2 linked regions of the Macaca fascicularis genome follow. The protein of the gene in region 1 purifies or fractionates together with the protein of each later gene. This does not show direct contact. Links are inferred from orthologs where the notes say so. Each region holds a gene or a part of one and is shown on either strand. Other genes may lie near its edges.

Region 1 (3,518 bases):
CGGAGTCTCGCTCTGTCGCCCAGGTTGGAGTGCAGTGGCCGGATCTCAGCTCACTGCAAGCTCCGCCTCCCAGGTTTACGCCATTCTCCTGCCTCAGCCTCCCGAGTAGCTGGGACCACAGGCGCCCGCCACCTCGCCCAGCTAGTTTTTTGTATTTTTTTTTAGTAGAGACCGGGTTTCACGGTGTTAGCCAGGATGGTCTCGATCTCCTGACCTCGTGATCCGCCCGTCTCGGCCTCCCAAAGTGCTGGGATTACAGGCTTGAGCCACCGCGCCCGGCCTGTTCATAATATTTTCATATGATCCTTTGCATTTCTGTCCATTGTAATGTGTCTCCTTGTTGTTTTTTTGTTTGTTTGTTTTTTGTTTTCTTTGAGACAGAGTCTCCCTCTGTTGCCCAGGCTGGAGTGCAGTGGGATGATCTCGGCTTACTGCAACTTTCGCCTCCCAGGTTCAAGCGATTCTCGTGACCCAGCCATCCAAGTAACTGGGATTACAGGTGTGCTCCACCATGCCTGGCTTTTTTTTTTTTTTTTTGTATTTTAGTAGAGGTGAGGGTTTGCCATGTTGGCCAGTCCGGTCTCCAACTCCTGGCCTCAGGTGATCCATCTGTCTTGGCCTCCCAAAGTGCTGGGATTATAGGCGTGAGCCACCTCACCTGACCTCCTCATTCATTTTTTATTTGATTTGTCTTCTTTCTTTTGTCTTAGTCTAGTTAAAGGTTTGTTGATTTCATTTCTTTTTTTCAAATAACTAACAGAATTTTGATAGTCTTTTGTATTTTTTTCTAGTCTCTATTTTATTTATTTTTGCTCTGATTTTTATTATTTCTTTTGTTCTGCTAACTGTGGGCTTAGTGTATCTTTTTTTCGTTTCCTTGAGGTATAACATTAAGTCTTGTATTCAAGATCTTTCTTCTTTTTTGATGTAGGCATTTATTGCCATTTCCTCTTAACACTGCTTTTGCTGCATCCCATAAATTTGGTTATGTTATCTTTCCATTTCATTTTCTTAATATATTTTTAAATTTTCCTTTTGATTTCTTCTTTGACACATTGGCTGCTCAAGAGCTTGTTACCATTCAAGTTCTTTGTTCATTTCTTAACCACATTGTTGGCTTGTGGTGGTTGTTGTTGAGTTGGAGTTTTTATATATTTTAGATATTAACCTTTTATCGGATATATAGCTAGTAAATGTTTTCCTCTTCCTGTGGGTTGCCCCTTCACTGTTGATTATCATTTGATGCACAAAAGTTTTTAATTTTTACATAGTGCAATTTATCTATTTTTTTCCTATATTGCTTGTGTTTTGGGGATCACATTCAAGAAATCATTGCCAAATCCAAGGTCATGAAGAATCGTTCCTATGTTTTCTCCTAAGTTTTAGGGTTTTCACTTTTATGTTAGATTTTGGATCCATTTTGAGTTAATTTTTGTATATATGTAAGTCAAAGGTCTGAGGTCATTGTTTTGTGATAAGTCAATATCTAGATTTCCCAAGACCATTTTAAAAAAGATTGTCCTCTCTCAATTAAATGGTCTTGGTACCTTTTCCAAAAATTACTTGATATATATAGTCATGCACCACATAACAACATTTCTGCCAACAACAGACTGGATATATGATGGTGGCTCCAGCAATTATGTAACATACTACACAGGTTTGTAGCCTAGGAGCAAGAGGCTATACCATATAGGCCAGGTGTGTCATAGGCTACACCATCTAGGTTTGTGTAAGCATACTCTCTGATGTTCACACAACACAATCACCTAACAACCCTTTGCTCAGAACAATGTTGATCAATGCATGGCTGTACGTGCAAGTTCATTTCTGGGCTCTCTGATCTAGTCCATTGGTCTATATGTCAGGCACCTTTTAAAATCAGAAGTTCACTATTTAATGTTTGATCCTGTATCCCAATTTTTTAAGTTTGCTGTATTATAACCCCCATTTATAAAAATGTGTATGTGTGCCTGTGTGTCTGTTTGTGTGTGTGTCTGTGTAAGAGAGAGAGAATGAGAGAAAGAGAGAGAGAATAGGCATACCTATGGAAAAATAGTGGAACTAAATGAAACAAAATATTAATGGATGCTATCTTTAGCTGAGATTATCATGTGTGGTTTGTGTATTCTTCTAAAAACTTTCCTTGCCCACATTTTCTGGAATAAACATGTTTAGAAGAGTTTTTCAAGTGAATGTTACTTGGCCTTCCCTGAAATATGAAGGGACGAACAAACATGAAAGGATGTTTGAGAGGTGAGAGCTGCAAGAAAGATGAGGGTTCTGTTTAGCCTTCGTGCCTGGGGTCAAGGGAATGTGAGTGGATCCTGGGAGGGGTGAGCTCTGGAAGCCACTCACACCCATCCCTGCTTTGTCCCCACAGGTCTCAGCTGACTGTGCTCCAATCACCCGACAATCCCTAGATCCCCAGCGAAGAGCGGCTCCACAACAAAAGAGATCCAGCCCCACAGAGGGATTGTGTCCGCCTGGTATGTTTAAGATGGGTCTCTGATCCTTACCCCTCCTCCCCTTGTCTCCATGAGCTTCCAGTCTGTTTCCTTTGCACTTCCTGGTTCTTTATGCCACAGAGAGGCATTGGGTGCCTCCAGCTCAAGGCTCTGTCCTTCTGGAGCCTTCCTGCTAGGTTGGTATCAAGACACACAAATGAATGAGACCGCCAAAGAGACTGATAGGCACCTTGAGGGAGAATTGAGTGGAACAGAGATGGGGCTGGTGAGGCCTCCAGGCAATGGTGACTTTGGGTTGACATCTGGAGGTGGGCAGGGCCAGAGGTGCAGAGAACCAGGAAGAGTGCTCCTAGGAGGGTTCCACTGGAACAATTGCCGGGGGTCAGGGGTTGGGGAAGATGGAGCAACGGCAGGGGACTACTGTGGGGAGTGGAGGGTTACGAAGTTAGAGAGACAGGTGGGTTCAAATCCTACAGAGAGGAAGCTGGATTTTATTTCACGAGTGATGGATGTCCCTGCGAAGTTTTCAGCAGAGGGCCACCAGCATTGGATGTGCATCCTGAGTGCCCACTCCTGGATTGAAGCGGAGCAAGACAGGAAGCAGGTGGAGGGCCTTGAGTGTGAGGCGCTCCCCTGGGATGTTATATGGTGCCCTGTAAGGTCATTTGAGCCCTGAGAGATGCAGCAGGAACCTGGCCTGAAGTGTGCTTGACTGCTGTGTTCACCTCGCACTTCTTTCCCTCTTTCCCCCGCGCGTATGAGGTAAGAATTGATTGCTGCATGAAGGTTTCCAGGGCTGGCAAGTGTGGCAAGCAGTGGCTTGTAAAATCCATTTACAAATTTGCATTTCTTTTCCATGACTAAGGGCCACAGGAAAGGCTTGCCTGAGGGCAAACTCTCACATTGCACGCGTGGGCTTGTCAGGAGCAGAGCATGGAGAAGGAAGAACCCAGTGTGAAGCAGACACAAACTCATCTGTAAATGCTCCTATTGCTGTGGTCCAGAGTCAAGACCAGGGAGCAGGACAGGAATGGGAAGAATTCAAGAAGT
Region 2 (3,518 bases), on another chromosome or scaffold:
AATGATTAAGGAAAGTTCCCTAAACAGAAAGGAAACAATAAAATAAGACACCTTGGAGAATCAGAAAGGTCTGGTTTTGTTCATGGCAGGTAGCACCTAAAATCCTTGGAGTCTTCTAAGAGTGTCTTTTGGGTGGGGTCAGAAAACTAAGCAGCTTCAGAATGGGGGCTAGCAACCAGAAAGACCAAGCTATAATTAGAAGGTTGGGACTTTGAGCTCCACCTTTGACTTCCAGTGAGGAGAGAGGGACTGGAGATTAAGCTCAAGCACCAATGACCATGATTTAATCAATCATGCGTATGTAATGGAACTTCCATAAATCACCTTAAATGGGAAGGTGTGGAGAGCTTCAGGTTGCTGAACACATAGAAGCACCAGAACGTGGTGTGTCCTGAAAGGCTGTGGAAGCTCTGTACACCCTCCTCCCATACCTCACCTTGTACACCTCTTCCATTTGGCTGTTTCTGAATTGTACCCAGTACAGTAAAAGGGGAGACATAAGTAAAATGTTTTCTTGAGTTCTGTGAGTCTTTCTAATGAATTCCCAGACCTGAAGTGGGGCTTGTGGGAATACTCAAATAAATTTGTAGTTGGCTGAGCAGAAGTGTGAGTAGCCTGGGTACCCAATGCTGGTGAGGATGCAAGAACCTGCATCACGCAGACACCGAATATAAAATGGCACAGCCCCTCTGGGAAAATGTTTGGGAATTTTTTAAATAAACTGTACATGAAACTACCATACAACCTAGCTACTGCACTCCTTGGTATTCCAGAGAAATGAAGACTTATATTCACACAAAAACATGTACATGAATATTTACAGCTGCTTTAGTCCCAACAGTTAAGAACTGGAAACAAGTCTTTCAAGGAGTGAATAGTTAAACTGTGGTACATCCACACCATAGAATACTGCTCAGCAAACATCCAGGCACCTTTCCCCATCCCTGTATGACAGGGCCAGTCTAAATGGCAAAATACTTTCTAAAGATGCCAGCTAAACAAGGGAGGGGATGGAAATAAAAGAGGTGAAGAAGCAAAGAAGGCTGGTGAAAGCCCATACACGGATGAATGGAGAAACGAAATGCAGTCTATTCATACAATGGAATATTATTCAGCCTTGAAAAGGAAAGAAATTCTGACATCTGCTACAACACAGATGAACCTCGAGGACATCATGCCAGGTGGAATCAGCCAGACACAAAAGGACAAACATTGTATGGTTCCACTTATATACGGTACCCAGTGCAGTTAAATTCGTAGAGACAGAAAGTAGGATGGGGGTTGCCGGGGCAGGGAGAGAGATGATGGAGAGTGAACGTACTGTGGGACTGTACTTACTGCCCCTGAACAGTGCACTTGAAAACAGTTACAATGTTAATTTGAAAGTTATGTATATTTAAACCCAAGTTAAAAAGTTAGTTACAAAAAAAGGAAACAAGAAGGCCTTATGTGCCTTCATGCTTTTGAGAGATGGCTTCTTTGCACTGAACAACATGTTTGAAATCTAGAAAATCAGTTTAAAACCACAAGTAAAGTTGAACTCAGTTTTCTGAGGATTCAAACCAAGTTCCTAACAACATCTTACTGGGAAAATCACCACACAGGATGCATCCTACACAGTCAGAAAAGATGCTCTTACCAGGAAATGTCGGCCGAGCTTCTGGATTCGCTTCCCAGCACAGCTTCATGAGGCTGATAATTTCTCTTGGGCAGTACTCAATGATGTCGTCCACATCTGGCCTGTTCCCCGATTTTATGCACATTATCAGCTGCTGCTCACAGATAGCATCTGTAAAGCAAAGAGGAGCTGAGGTTGAGACTTTCAGGTCTTGCTCCTCTCTCAGGCAGGAAGGTGACAGAACTTGAACAATACTGCTCATTTTTTTCAGCCTCTGGTATGCCTGTGGTACGGCTGCCTCATTCTATAGAGTGGAATATGTCAGCTCTTTGTCTGACATATTCCACTACAGAGATGACCAAACAATAGCTTAATGTCTGCAGATAAAACAAAATTCTCAACAAAGCTACCTGCTGATGGAACAGAGATTATGTGGGCAAGGCCAGTGGCACGCTCCATGTGCAAAGGCAAATATGGGACAGTCCTTGCCTTTAGGAGCTCAAGTTAATGAGAGTGACTTAAAACACAAGAGTGATCATTGCTATTCAAAAAGGATGGGGCTGGGCACGGTGGCTCATGCCTGTAATCCCAGCACTTTGGGAGGTTGAGACAGGCAGATCACGAGGTCAAGAGATCAAGACCATCCTGGCCAACATGGTGAAACCCCATCTCTACTAAAAATACAAAAATTAGCTGGGCGTGGTGGTGCACACCTGTAGTCCCAGCTACTCGGGAGGCTGCGGCAAGAGAATTGCTTGAACCTGGGAGGTGGAGATTGCAGTGAGCTGAGACTGCGCCACTGCAATCCAGCCTGGTGACAGAGTGAGATTCCGTCTTAGAAGGAAAAAAAAAAAAAAAAAAAAGAATGTACAAGGGGCTCCAGTAGCACAACCCTGACTAAAAAGATCCAGGAAGGCTTTGTTGAGTCCAGAAAAATTAGCAGGTAAAGAATGGGAAAGGGGGACTTAAGGAGGAGAACTCCAGGCAAGAGAAGCAGGATATCAACAGACTAGAAGTCACAGAGATCATGACACATCCCAGAAATTCCTCACTCAGTCTAACTGACAAAGAAGGGAGGGTCAGGGATGAGGCCAGTAGAGAAGCAAAGGCCAGAATATTCCACACTAAGGAATTCGAACTTCATCCTGAACACCATGGAGCATCTGGGAAGGATTTCCAGTATGTGAGGGAAAGGGTCACATGTGCCTTTTAGGACGACCATTTTGGCTGCCACATGAATGGTGGACAGTGGAAGGAGCCTGCCGCAGAAACAGTGAGGGTTTGAACTAAGCAGAGGCCAGTGGGGACAGAGAGAGGCAGATGGGTTGCAGATATATCTTGAGTCATATATATATCTTGAATTCATAGGTTTTGAGATCTGATAGAATGTGGGAGAGAGAGGCAAGGGCAAGTCTGGGATGACTCTAAGGTTTCTTATTGGGCAACTTGGTAAAAGGATGGCCATGCCACTTCCTGAGCATATGAAGAGGAGTGAAGCAGGGCGAGCTGCAGGACAGTGTCGACAAGATGGGTGTGTTTGGGGGATGCTGCTTTGGAGGTTCCTTTGGTGCCTGCAATGGATCTGACCATAAGACAAGTGGATATCCAGGCCAGAGCCAGAGACACAGATTTAAGAAGCATTTGCAAAGAGATGATCATCAAACCACGGGAGCTGATGATCACCCAAGATGAGTATGTAGGGAAACATCCATTAGTTTATGCACTTAACAAACTGAAGAGTGTCTCTGTTCTCCTACACAAGCCACGACTTACTCATCTTTATATTCCCGGTGCCGACTAAAGTGCCCACAGTAGGGACTGAAAAGAAAGAATTCTTGAATGAAGGAGTAAGTGAATGAGTGAAAGTATGAAGTGTATGCCTTGTAGTGTGAAAGACTAA

Evidence for each region. The genes of interacting proteins can lie anywhere in the genome.
Region 2: the proteins of TNFRSF10B (region 1) and RIPK1 purify together in Homo sapiens (affinity purification with western blotting, with the first as the bait; 3 studies listed by BioGRID). This does not show direct contact. The link is inferred for Macaca fascicularis from reciprocal best matches to the Homo sapiens genes TNFRSF10B and RIPK1.

Annotation. Positions count from the first base shown.
Region 1 is NC_088382.1:26,141,047-26,144,564, reverse strand, and holds part of TNFRSF10B (tumor necrosis factor receptor superfamily member 10B), read left to right. Parts: intron 1-2,383; coding exon 2,384-2,489; exon of another isoform or gene 2,490-3,498; coding exon of another isoform or gene 3,499-3,518. UniProt on the Homo sapiens protein: Receptor for the cytotoxic ligand TNFSF10/TRAIL. The adapter molecule FADD recruits caspase-8 to the activated receptor.
Region 2 is NC_088378.1:169,978,726-169,982,243, forward strand, and holds part of RIPK1 (receptor-interacting serine/threonine-protein kinase 1), read right to left. Parts: intron 1,790-3,518; coding exon 1,640-1,789; intron 1-1,639. UniProt on the Homo sapiens protein: Serine-threonine kinase which is a key regulator of TNF-mediated apoptosis, necroptosis and inflammatory pathways.